Linked DNA regions of Nothobranchius furzeri. The protein of the gene in region 2 binds, or shares a complex with, the protein of the main gene of each other region. Links are inferred from orthologs where the notes say so. Each region holds a gene or a part of one and is shown on either strand. Other genes may lie near its edges. The genes, in order: pelo and hbs1l.

Evidence for each region.
Region 1: hbs1l (region 2) and pelo share a complex: the UniProt entries of both Homo sapiens proteins name them as parts of the pelota-HBS1L complex. The link is inferred for Nothobranchius furzeri from reciprocal best matches to the Homo sapiens genes HBS1L and PELO.

What each region holds. Positions count from the first base shown.
Region 1 is NC_091756.1:34,851,979-34,858,874, reverse strand, and holds the start of pelo (protein pelota homolog), read right to left. Parts: upstream 3,875-6,896; 5' UTR 3,645-3,874; coding exon 3,604-3,644; intron 3,229-3,603; coding exon 3,136-3,228; intron 2,898-3,135; coding exon 2,747-2,897; intron 2,625-2,746; coding exon 2,534-2,624; intron 2,091-2,533; coding exon 1,927-2,090; intron 1,400-1,926; coding exon 1,339-1,399; intron 669-1,338; coding exon 507-668; intron 438-506; coding exon 391-437; intron 275-390; coding exon 201-274; intron 113-200; coding exon 41-112; intron 1-40. Other genes in the region: ppp1cab (protein phosphatase 1, catalytic subunit, alpha isozyme b), read left to right, coding at 4,609-4,663, 5,478-5,609, 6,277-6,507. UniProt on the Homo sapiens protein: Component of the Pelota-HBS1L complex, a complex that recognizes stalled ribosomes and triggers the No-Go Decay (NGD) pathway.
Region 2 is NC_091742.1:471,316-478,178, reverse strand, and holds part of hbs1l (HBS1-like protein), read right to left. Parts: intron 1,979-6,863; coding exon 1,832-1,978; intron 1,542-1,831; coding exon 1,467-1,541; intron 1,363-1,466; coding exon 1,245-1,362; intron 1-1,244. UniProt on the Homo sapiens protein: GTPase component of the Pelota-HBS1L complex, a complex that recognizes stalled ribosomes and triggers the No-Go Decay (NGD) pathway.

The DNA.
Region 1 (6,896 bases), on a different chromosome or scaffold from region 2:
AAACAGCTGTAATGCTCTTGGGAGATCTCTCTGTGCGCACCTGAACAGCTTATCACTGATGAGCAGCGTGTCGATGGCGAGGGCATCAGCGGCTTTTTCTACATGAGCGATTCTGTGAGGAGGGAAAAGACACAAAGACCAGAGTGAATGAGAAGAACCCCTCTGGACACAGCTGGAAGTTCGGATCCATCACCTCTTACCCATAAAAGGCTCTGTCTGGTTCATGTTGAAGCATCTTGTAGAAGTCATCCAGAGCTTTCACCTCTCCAGCTGCCTGAGAGTTACACACAAATACCACATGTTTAGGTTCTGAGCCCAAACATGCACACGATGGCCTGCAGATAGTTTGGATGATTAATAAAACTGGACAACCAGAAGATGTATACTCACCTTAGTATCAGAAAGCCTACTTGTCACAGAGGGGTCACAAAGGATCTCTGCACAAAAAAAAGTGTTTTGTTTTATCTTCAGCTTGGCTGTTTTTCTCAGTGCGCAGCAGCTCCTACCTTTGAGTGAATACTTATGGCCTGATGATGAGTGGACCAGCATGAATTTGGGTCGATTTTCCAGGAGGATCTTGATGTCCTGTCGCACCGCCTCTTTAAAGAGGTAGGCAGAAAACTGGTCCTTCACAAAGCCTGGACTGGCCACGAGGATACACTTCACCACTGACAGAAGTCCAAAACAGAGATTAACACAGTTGCTTTGATTCAGTCTACAGACCAAGTTCACTCACTTTTTCAATACATTTGCTGTGGTCTCTGGTATGAATGAATGACTTGTGAGTCGGTCTCTGTGAGGAAGAAGCTCTGACATTCCTATTTCAGGAAGTAGAAGTGAGTCAGAGGAGAGAGGAGACGATCATGACAGGATTTGGAGTTTTATTTCCTGATATTCGGACATCTCACCTCTGATTGGCTAACAGCAAAACAACTCTACCTCTGACTGTTTACTTTGCAATGTTGACGTTTTATCTCCCCATATAATACAAGCCTGAAGTAGTTCTGCTGTGTGGTGGAGTTGCTCATGCTAACGGTTAGCTTCTACGAGGCAGATAAGTTCTCTGCCGTTTCCTGGCTGTTAAACCAGCAACAGCCTTCCTGATCGTGAGTCAAGATGGATGAGCCCATGAATGTTAAGTTCCAGTGTGACGTAGATCTGAATGACTTTTCTAATCTGAGCGTTTTTCCGTCTATTTCTATCAGCAGCTAAATCAGGTGATGGGGTAGAAGACCGTTTTTACATTCAGCCTGCGGGTGAAACTCAGAGTGGAACATGTGATGAAAACAGGAACATGCTGTGTTGTTACATGTGGAAGTGTAGGTCTGTTGGACCTACCATCAAAGTTAATGTGGCGAAGAATGGCCTGCATCACGGCCTCATAGAACCTCTCCAATGCCTGGTAAAAAAAACAAGCACAACACTTACCTTTTAAATGATTTATCTGAATGCACCCGTGAATAATCGTTACATGACCATCTGAAGGCAACCACTCTTAAAGAGCAAGTCACCCACGGCCAGATTCTTACTGAACTCCCACTTCCTGTTGCCTAGCAGACCGAGAGGGTGGAGCCGCTAACAAATACACACACTCACGACATTGTGACATCATAATGTACCATCTAACATCATTGTGTACCTCTTAGCCAATAGCGATGGCAGATTTCTATTCAAATGCAGTGCTGAGTTTTTGCCTGACGACAGTGCACCGCTGACAGTTTTAGGCAGAATAGTTAAAATTTAACTAAGATGCACTAAAATGCCAAATTATTGACTACATTTGTCTACAGCACAATAAGACACTCATTTATATAGTTTATCAGCAAAAAAAATGTTGATTTGGAGTGACTTGCTCTTCAAATAAATCAAGCAGGTTTATCCAGACATAAACAAAGCACACACCAGAACACATCCCAGACGACTGACCTTCTCGTGCTGACTGCAGCTGCCTTTTCTCTTCCGAGGAATCGTGACCTCCACTTTTGCCCGAAGCAGAGTCATGGCGGGGGTCACCAGAACCACGTTAGCCAGACCTTCCTGCATGACCACAGCTGCCACATCTGCTTTCTGAGCCGGATCACATGCTTGGTCTAAAGGGTAGAAAATAATAAAAATGGGTCAAACATCATTACAAATGTTTTACTGCAGGTCTATCACAACTCACTGCTGAAAGCCAAAAGGCGGGTACTTGTGTTTTTGTTTGCATTTGTCAGCAAGATATCTAATAAACCACTGGATGGATTTCAATAAGACTCTAAAAACGTATATTTTATAGCACATCTACAACCTGGTTTGTGCTTGGGGTCAACCTGATTCAGGATGGCTGCTACAGTTCACTGAAACTGGTAAACACATTGATTTTACAGCTTAAATTTTATGTGAACGACATTTAATCGTCCATAACATACAGGCTGAGCACTAAAATACTGTGCATGATTTTTAGGAACTAACCTAAACAGCTGTAATGGCATCCTTTCTCAACAGCAAATGATCTCATTTTAAAACTGTGGCATAAAAGCCAGCAGCCAATTACCAATTCTGTCCAGCACAATGCTGTCCCAGCATTTTTTAGCCAGAGTGAACTTCCTATTGAGCTCCAATTCAATAGTGTGGTAAGCCCCCATCTGAAAAACACAATATGACAAGTGTTTTCAAACCCAAACAAGCCCTAGTAACGGTGTCAAATACAGCAAAACAAAAACACACCGGAGTGTGACTACTATAGGGTTACGGTCCAATTTCCCACCTTGACATACTGGTTCTCCTCGATGTTGGTGCCTTTCACTCTCAGCTGGCATGCCTGGGAGTCAAAGTCAATGGTCTCCACACATAAAGTCAGAGTTGTCCGGACTCTGGAGCTGCCCACACTTCCTGTCGTGGATTCTGTCTGTACTTTTCTGTGGCAACAAGGGAAAATAGCTTTAGTTGTTAGTGTAATGTTCAATTTAACATGCATACAGACTGTGAAAGGGATCAAATCAAAATACAACCCTGACTGATTAGCAGGCAGAAAAGAGAAGAAACAAACTCATCTGAACTAAAACCAACTTCTAAGTGGTCTGTTTAATGGTCATGAGATAGTTTAATGTTCAGAGTTGCACATCTCATCTTTATGCGACACAGGTCAAAGGTTACCGGATGGTTGAGGCTCTCAAGCTGTCCCCCACTTGGAGCAGGTTGTAGGTGTGCCACATATCCTCTGCCTCCTCTGGCATCAGAGTTACCTGACTGAAGAAGTGTTAACACACATCAAACTAGCTTTCTGATTGGCTTTTATGTTTGATTACACAAGATCAAATGTTCTTTAGACATCGACTGATCCAAATGTTTGATAGAATGTTTATGCAGAATGTAAAAAAAAATTACAAAAACTGTTTGATTCTTATTGTTTACCCATTAGATGGGGACAGAACAGTCATCAAAGCTCTCTGGCTATATCAGGAAATACAGTATTATGTTAATAATGCTTCATTCTGTACATTGTCTAATAAAGCACTGATCGTAAATGTTCCTGTATCCATCACCACTACGATGACACATGTTTGGTCAGCTACAATAGCATGCTTTTTAGCTTGCTAATATTAGCTGAAACATTTCACTCACCCGGCATAATCTTTCTCAATGTCTTTGTGGAGCAACTTCATGGCTGGATTGTTTTAATGTAATAAACAAGATTGTCAACCTAAACTACAGTGGCAGGAGTTTAACCGAATTACGGACATATTTATTTCAATGAAAGCGCTAACTAAGCTAAGCCATCTCTCAACTTTGGAATGAATCACTCGGTTCGTGTTGCGAGGCGCTGAGACGTGGGTCCGTTCCTTAACGTTATGCCGGAGAACGATCCGCCTAAACATTGAGACCGTAGCGGACTGTAAGTTGCATCCGCCCATTCGATGCACCACTAAACTCGCCGGCGAATAAGCAGTAGAGGACCCATTGCGTCATGTTATCATACGTCAATTCTGTCTAGCTTGGCCTCTTTAATGGGTGTTGCTTCTGCGCAGTACATACAAAGCGACCGAAACTTAAATATTTCAGATTTTGTAGATGTATTTATTTATTTGGAAATGTTCAAGTAAACTGAAGTTTCTCAAAGAACAACGTTTGATCCATTTCCGTGAGCACTTGCTCTTTTATCGTTGTGGTTTTGAGATGACTAAATGCTGACGTACATTGAAAATAGCCAACCCGATAGCAGATTTTGTACCACAGATCCCGGCCACGGAGGTAAACGAACCAATTGCAGCTCAAATACAGTCGGACAACATCCGTTCAGCCACGCTCTTCTAACCTTTTTTGTCGATGGCATGGTTGTGCTAGCAGCCGCGGCGGATATTTCAAACACTTAAAAAGTGTTTTAGGATTCAAATTTGAAGTCGTTGATTAATTAAATTTCTGCAAGCACATGTCAGCCATCACATATTCAACAATTCAGTCTTCAGCCTCACACTTTGAGGTTGTTATTATCCCCCAAGGTTAGCTAGCGGCTAACGATAGCCGATTAACTACTTGAGCTAACGGTAAACTCGAGAGCTACTTTACAATCTTTTCGTATTGAAATTTCGAAGTAAATCAAAGAAAACCCGACCCGATTAGAAGAATAGTATGGCGGAAGCCGACAAGCTGAACATCGATTCAATTATACAGCGTCTCCTGGAAGGTAAGACTCGGTTTTTATTCACCGAGGTGCCATTTTAGCTAACAGGGAAGAAGCCGCCAATGAAAGACTTCCTAATTATCCATCTTTGGGGTTTTACAATTGAAATACAAAATTTGACTCGCATTGGACAGAAACCATCAGATTAATTATGTAGACCTGCATTAAGTGCTTCAACAAAAATTTTCACATGTAATCCCGTTAAAGGGCTCGTTTAACATTGATTTATTGAAACGATGCGCGTCTTTTCTCATATTTGCTGTTTGAAATGTATTTTCATCAAGCGATGAAGACGTGTGATTTTATTGTAGGGTTAGTTTGAAGTTTTTACTTTTTCCAATCATGAAAATAAATCATCGTAGGTGAAAATTGGTATTTAAAAAGCGTTCTGGTTATTTTAACGCATGATTTACAGAATACCCTTTACCAAAAATCCCCAAAATTGACCAGTTTGTCAGAAATCCATGAGATGTTTAGATTTTCTCAGTGTCAGAATAAACCTAAAATATTTGAATTTCCCTTTGCATCGTGTGCTTTTAGATGCTGCGATAAATGAGACAACAGGAAAAACTACTAAAATACATAATTTTTGACCCTTTCTCAGTGGTCTGCTTATAAAAATGTTTCACCAATAGAGTTGTGAAAATATGATATATATAGATAGATAGATAGACACACGTATGCTGGACATGAATTAAAATAGTTACACCTCAGTAGGATTGTTACAAAATGAGACTGAATTACCACTTCCCTGGTTAATGTTTGTTTTTTAACCCCATATTCAGTTTGATTTGTGTTATTTTTCTTTTCCCTAAAGTGAAAGGCTCCAGACCTGGTAAAAATGTTCAGCTGACAGAGAATGAAATCCGTGGACTCTGCCTCAAATCCCGGGAGATCTTCCTTAGTCAGCCGATCCTGCTCGAACTCGAGGCCCCCCTCAAGATTTGTGGTGAGTTTTATTGTTTGCTTTATAGCCGAGGGAATTTTCACAGCAGACTTAAGAAATAAAATGTTTGAGTTAACATTCTGTGGAGTTTCGTTTTCAGTAACTACATTTCTAACTTAACTTTCTAAGATAAAAAACGTAACAAATATTTGTGATATTGTTGCAAGGCACATGGTAGTGACCTTGGTCACAGTATCATGTTTTGGATTCGATGGGTTTTTTGTCGATTAAACTGTTTAGTGTCACTAAAGATTCACAAAAATTATCACTATTATCTTCTTACTGATGTAAACAAACATCTAAATGTTTGTCTCAGTTCACTTGAAATTGTTGTCATTTTTTAAACGAGTATTTTTTCAAGCCCTCTGACCACTTTGCTGCATCAGTTTTTAAGTTAAGTTAAATCTATGTTTAGGAGGCAGATCAACTCAGACCTGGTTCTTCTAAAAATAAAAGTAATCAGCATTAGTTTTATTGATCAGTGTTGGATCCAAACACAGAATCAGAGCTGCAGCCTCGAGCTTTAGTCTTGTTTTTGTCATCATAGTTTCAAGCATCAGCAGCACCTACCGGCAGGACCTAAACTACAGAACGATATTGATAATAATACGAACAACGGCACATTTAAATGATTAACCAGAAATGAAACCCTCTCATAACTCTTCTCCAGGGGATGTTCATGGGCAGTACTACGATCTGCTGAGGCTGTTTGAGTACGGAGGCTTTCCGCCGGAGAGCAACTACCTGTTCCTGGGAGACTACGTAGACAGAGGCAAGCAGTCGCTGGAGACCATCTGCCTGTTGCTGGCCTACAAGATCAAATACCCGGAGAACTTTTTTCTGCTGAGAGGAAACCATGAGTGTGCATCTATTAACAGAATATATGGCTTCTATGATGAGTGTAAGTAGTACAACATGCTCACTGCTTAGTTCAATAAAACAGGCCAAGCCTTGAGTTGGATATTGTTGATGTTTTGATCATTTAAATAGAAATGTGGGCATTCAGGTTGCATTTATCTGGAGGAATGTCTCGTCTTCTGAAAGTTGATGATGGTAGAAGAGGAGGTGAAGTTCCTGTGAATCTGACGGTGAACGTGTGGCTGATCAGACCCAACTAAAGCCCGATCCCCTCGTTGCTGGAGCGTGATCAGGCAGTGGTGAATAATCACATGCCTCTCCTATTCAGAGTCCCCGTTATGTAAAAGATGTTTCTAATCTGGTACACTGGGTGCAGCTGCTTTTCTACAGCCTGAGATAAGATTGTGACCCAGTCGTCGTGGTTTCCTCCCA
Region 2 (6,863 bases):
TTACTGAATCCATAAAAGGAACCCACAACTCGTCTCAATGGAGGAGCAGCAGCTCTACTCTGAATCTCTCCCGAACGTCCAAGCGCCTCACCCTATCCCTAAGACTGGACCCAGCTACCCCACGGAGAAAACTTATTTATACCCTCATGCAGCGGAGGGTATAAAACAAAACTCCATAAATTACATTTGCTGTCAACAGTTTTGGTAGTCAATGTAGTTGTGACTATCTTGGGAGCCCTGCTGCATTTAGCATCCAACTGCAGGATAAACAGACAATCTGCAGCTGATAAAATCACATAAATCTGATTTTAATGTTATACCTTGAGGTAGGGATGCGCAATAAACTGGCATCAATATCGGTATCGGCTGATGTTAATTATTTTTTAACATGTTGGTATCGGTCCGATAAATAATACTGGGCCAATATTAACAACCGATATTTTTTCCATCTTGTTTCCATTTGTTTATCTGTTTCAGAGGGTTGGGGGGCGGGGGTGATGTGTGTTAGTTTAGTCATGTGACAGTGATTGTAATCATCTCAGAAGCGTAAAGGTGTGTGTTGTGTGTACATAATAACGTAAGTCCAGCTTTAATCATTTTCATTCGATACAAAACCTGCTGATTTTAGAAGCATCAATGTCAGTATATTGGTATCGGCAAATATCGGTTATCGGCCATAATAGTAATATAATATCAGATATTGGTATCGGCCCAACTATTTCGTATCGGTGCATCACTACCTCGAGGTAAACTACTGTGCATTTTAATATACAACACAAGAAATGTTTAGCTACTCCCAAACTAAATGCCAACTGGTTTCCAAATTTGTACAAGATTGTAAAACAGTAAAATCAGATTTTTTATATTTGCTGCATAAAAGTGTAAATGTGATCTAGCGTTGTTTGTTTTTTCCTTTTTCATGCTTTTGTCATATTTTATTTGGGTGAAACACTTTCAGTTTTTAAATGTGCTAAAACAAACGCTGCTGCTTTACCGTAGACGAAAACAAACATATCTGTTATTAGCCGAGTCTAACATTGGAAACAACTGCAGAAATATCTCCAGCAGCATTTGCGTACTGTGAGTTGGTTTCAGTAAGACTCGTGGCTAAATAAAGAGCAACAGCTTTAAAGTTTTCAGAAGCTCTTTTTGCATTCCACATATTAATCACTGTTCTGTCAGAATGAGGAAAATTTAAACCAACGTTGGCTCAGTATGACACTCGCCGCGCAGTGACGGCTTACCGATCTGCTCCAGCAGGCTGGGTCCAGAGTACCAGGATGTGAGCTGTGACGCAGTACTCCTGGTGACGAGGTTCTCCCCTGACAAACCGCTGGTGGGGACGAAGAACACATCAGACTCCTAGAAAACAGAAACAAATGTCAGAATAAAGCAAAAAGCTGGACTTGGTGCCTTCATGCTGACGGAGAAGGATTCAGACTTCAGGTATTTTAGCTCCATCTCACCTTGAATCCTGCCTGCTTGAGGAAATGACCAAGTTTTGAGGTGATTTCTTGGAATCGCTCTTGTTGCCAGTTTACCTGATTTGTAAACACACAGAGGAAGTACACACAAGAAGAAAGTTTCCCCTTTAGTGTGGCTTCGATATGGAAATGTGTCAGCAATGTGCCGGTGATATATACACCACCCGTTCACCAAACTGGGATTGTTGGAATTTTTTTGACTGATTTGAAGAAGCGAATATCTGATCCAATTTAAAAACAAAGCCTGACAAACATATCAACAAAAAGAAAAACTAATGATTTTTGTACAGTTGCTAGCAGTCGGACTCCCCTGCTCGTGTTTTGGAGCACTGAGGATAACTTCTGACCTGGTCCATCTTGTTGACAGCCACAGCCAGCTGAGTGACACCCAGCGAGCGCACCAACAGAGCATGCTCTCTGGTCTGACCGCCCGCTTCAAAGCCGGCCTCAAACTCTCCTCTGCTGGCATCCACTACGAGCACGGCGACGTCAGCCTGGAGGGAGATCAAAATGAAACTCTAAATAATGTATGTTCACACCCAGAATCAAACCCAAGTCTTCAGCACGAGAGTCAGACAACTTACTAGGTGAGCTAAAGCACCAGTAACATTTGACGTATCTGTAACATTTATATCCTTGATGACAGCTGAAACAACGTCAAACCAAAGAACGGTTCGGAGTGAAAATGGCTATTTTGTTGCTAATTTGCAGGAAATATCTAGAAGAAAGTTCTACAGAAAGTAGCTAAGGGTCCTCAGAAATGTAGCTAGCGTTGTCACTAGGCGTTAGGAACAGCGACAAAGTGGCACTACCTCTCTCTCTGCTGCTAAAGCTACGGATAGCAAATGCTACGGGTGATGCCTGAGCGTGAACGCGCATGAAGCAGCCTGCTCGACCCGAGCAGCTCTCTTTCTGTGATTTTACAGAAAAACAGGCAATCACAGTAAAAATGCCAGGGCTCATTCTACAGGACCAGGGCATTGCAGGAGAATGTATGAAGAAGACATTTATTATTTCTATACATGTTTTGGCTGTCAAACTTTCATAATGCCCCTTTAACTCAGATTTTCTTTATTTTTTTGTTAAATGTACTTTTATTTGACTGAGTAATAAAGAAAAACTATAAAGCCTGGACCAAGCTGCAATCATGCAAAGAAACAATGATCCCAGTGATTGTGGACTAAAGTTTCAAGGACAAAGTCTCAACATCAGCTTGGTTTTGTTGCAGGACCAAGACAGCTCAGAACAAAAATGAAAAGTCATGCAAACCTGAATAAAATGGAGAAACACTGTAAATAATAATAATAATAAAAAAATAAGTGGGCTGAAATTCCCCCACAGCAATGTCAGACAATGATGAGGTCATACAGAAAACACATTCAAGCTACCATCACTAAAAGAGCTTATGGGCTTCAGATTATGGGATGGGAACTCTAATAAATAATCTGTTGAAGTTTATCTTAATTTTCACCTAATTTTAACCCCATATAAGGATGTTTAAGCCTTAGAAGTGAGAAAGACGTTACTTTCTTCACCTGATCTGCTATGTTAGATATTCTAATCCTTGGAATCCCAGTGAAAAGGAAAGTCAGCTTTTCATATCAGCGGCCATGTTTGAGTGTAATTTCTTAAGCATCCATGAACACAAGAGGCCGTAGCATCATCTGGAGCCTGCCAGACCACAACGCTTCCATGACAAAGGAGTTTAGCTCAAACACAAACCCCCTCACTCACTACACAAATGAGGTCACACGTCTTTACAGTCAAAAAGGATAAAGAAAAGTTAAAACGCAGACGAGAACACCCTTGCTTACAAAAAACACCTTGTGAGAACAACGCCCAAAACCACAAACAATCGCCCTGACGGGAGTGGCAAGATGTTGGAGCAAAGGGCGGGGCGGGGCGGGGCGGGGCATCATTTAATCGAGAGGTTTTAATGTCAGGAGAACGTTTAAGGATCAAACATTTTTGCTGCTAAAATAAACAGATCTCTTCTCATAAAATAATCAAGAGACAATTACGTGTGCCTAAATGGTGACATTAGCACATTAAAAACACATATTTGTAATAATAAACATGATATTTATAATGAATGTTGGTTTTTATAAACATTAGACCAGTTTTAATTCACATCTTTTAAAATAAGGTTCTGTGGAAGTCATGGAGAAGTAAAACAAGTAAAGCTGCAGATAACTGTTAGAGTGGCCTCAATTTGGAAATATAAAGATTAGTTCTGATCGATCAGAGGCCAGTTACAAAGCGTCTTCAAGTATGCAAATGCAGTTTTTAGCCTTTACAACATCATAAATGGAACAATTCTGAAGTTATTACTCGTGATGTAGTAGTGATAGTAGTAGTAGTAGTAGTAGTATGTTTATGTTTATGCGTTTAGCAGACGCTTTTGTCCAAAGCGACTTACAAGTGATAATCAGCATGTTGCCCTTGAGGTTAACAACAACAACAACAACAGCCAATTTCCAGTCAGTCGTAGGAGGCAGTGAGGCAGCATGATGAATCATGGAGAGGAGGGAACAAGGAGTGGACAGTAGAGAGGGGGGACGGATGCAGGGAGGGTGCTAGTTTAGAAGATGCTCTCTGAAGAGCAGGGTCTTCAGGAGTTTCTGGAAAATTGAAAAGGAAGCCGCTGTTCTGGTAGTGCTTGGAAGGTTATTCCACATTTGTGGAACGATGCATGAGAAGAGTCTGGATTGTCCTGAGCGTGGTGTAGGCACTGCTAGCCGACGATCCTGTGATGACCGGAGCGGCCGGGCCGAGACGTAAGCCTTTGCAAGAGGATTTAGGTTGTGCGGTCAAAGTCTTGATCATACAGCATTGTATTTAGATCGAAATAAAAAACTCAAATAGAAACATAAAAAAGTTGAAAAATAATTGAAAAAAAAGACACACTGGGTAGGTGGTTATGAAACAGCTGGAACTATTTAAGGTCAGTGTGCGTGTCGCTCCACGTCTCAGAACGTCATCGCGCATTACCTGAAATGTTTTATGTAGGACATGTCAGGAGAGAAAACTGGTTGTGAAAGTTCCTAGAGGAAGCACCAACGTGGTGATCCTCCGAAACGGTGCTAATGACATTCATCTGAAGACTGGAGAGGCAGCCGGTAAGATGCCGATTTGTAACGCGTGTGTGCATGCCGATCAGCTGATGGGTGATGGTTAAGCGCAGCTCGGAGCTGACACTGTGGACTCCGGTGCGCGTCATAAATGTTTGTGTTGGGTGTTTAGAAATCAGCTTGGTGTTTGATTGTTAATAAGCTACTTCAAATCTGCTAATTATTTAATGTTGTGATGTAAAATTGAAACATAAATAGCTGAAGTGATGAATTTAAGTGAGTTTGGGTCCGAATGAATTAATCATGTATTTTATAAATGTTAGCTCAAAAAATATATATATACATCATGTTGAAATCACGCATTTACCTATTTTATGAAAGGTAGTTTATATAGAGATAATAGAATTTTACACAATTACACTGTTTCTTAGCACACACTGTTTTTGTTTAAGGTTTTTCACCTGCTCGTAGGCTTTGCCTTGCTTCGTGCTTCATCATCTCCTATTTCCGTCTTGAATAATATGAAATGGAAATGAAATAAAGGAAAATGAAAAGTGAAGTCATGAAGTCCTGAGTGGAATCCTGCGTATATTTCTCCAGCAGATGATCCCAGTCAAGTGGGGATTTTACTCACCTAAAAGAGGAACTTGACACAGGTAGATGGGAGCCGTACCATCTCGGACTTTGTATGCTAGTGTTAGCAATTTGATTTTGATGCGTGCTGCTAGCGGTAGCCAGTGGAGCTCAATGAACAGAGGGGTGACGTGTGCTCTTTTTGGCTGATTGAAGACCAGACGCGCCGCTGCATTCTGGACCATTTGAAGAGGTCTCACAGTACAGCCTGGAAGACCAGTTAGAAGGACATTGCAGTAATCGAGGCGGGAGATGACAGTAGATTGCACCAGGAGCTGGGTGGCATGTTGTGTTAGGTATGGTCTGATCTTTCGTATGTTATACAGCACAAAGCGGCATGAACGAGCAACAGAGGCAACATGATCTTTAAAGGTCAGGTGTTCATCAATCACAACACCCAGATTTCGAACTGCCTTTGAAGGAGCCAGAGATGGGAAGTCATTTTGGATTGAGATATTGTGCTTTATGGATGGTTTTGCTGGGATGACAAGTAGTTCAGATTTAGAGAGGTTGAGTTGGAGATGGTGGGATTTCATCCATTTTGATATGTCAGAGAGACAGTTTGATATTCGAGCAGAGACAGTGTGGTCGTCCGGTGGAAATGACAGATAGAGCTGGGTGACGTCTGCATAGCAGTAGTAGGAGAAGCCATGTGATCGAATGATCTCACCCAGTGAGGTGGTGTATAGGGCAAAGAGAAGAGGTCCTAGTACAGAGCCCTGGGGGACTCCTGTGGCAAGATGGTGCACGGTAGAGGATTGTCCAAGCTGAGATACGCTGAATGATCATCCTGTGAGGTACGATTCAAACCAGGCGTGTGCTTTCTCTGTGATGCCCATGCTAGAGAGTGTGGACAAAAGGAAGCCATGGTTGGCAGTGTCAAATGTAGCCGATAAGTCGAGCAGGATAAGCACTGAGGATTTGGCAGTCGCCCTAGCTTCTAAAGCTTCTAGTAGTAGTAACTAGCTTCTCATCTAATTCCCACAGCAAATAAATGCCAAACTTACCGTAAGGGAACTGTACATTTGTGTGAGTGTCTATTAAGAATAGATTTAATTTCTTGGGGTCAGAAAGTTCCTACGAAAGCAGAAACTAGGGATGTTCAAAATTATCGATCTACCATTATTATCGGCTGATATCGGCATTAAAATTTAATATTTAAAAATTCTGTATTGGTTTTCCATCTTTTAATGACACAACTTTTACACACTGTGCATGTTTTATATTTCAAACTCTTGAGCTACTTCTCCTCTATCTAAAAATGTAAAAATATGTCAGATCTGAAGTAAATATTTTTGACATCTTCTAGTTTATTTTGCACCTGCGAAGTAGACATTTGCCTTGTGCAGTGAACGTACGCTGTCCTCAAGAGCACGTAGCTTTGTGTAGCTAGCCAGCTAGCAAACAACTAAAGCCAAAATGACAACCTTCCTCCAAGGCTTGCTTTTTGTATCTGAAGAAAAATATAGAGAAAATTCAGGTGCTGTTAGAGACTAAATAAATATGAAACTTAAGTTATATTTACTCACTTAAACTTTAGTTTAAGTAAATAAACTGGAAAATATTTAAATATTTAAAATTTAAGCATGCACATAGGAGATATGCAATGTTAGTAGCCTAAAATGTTTTAGTATTTCTTTTTTATGAGACGGGGACCCTCAATATATCTGTTTAT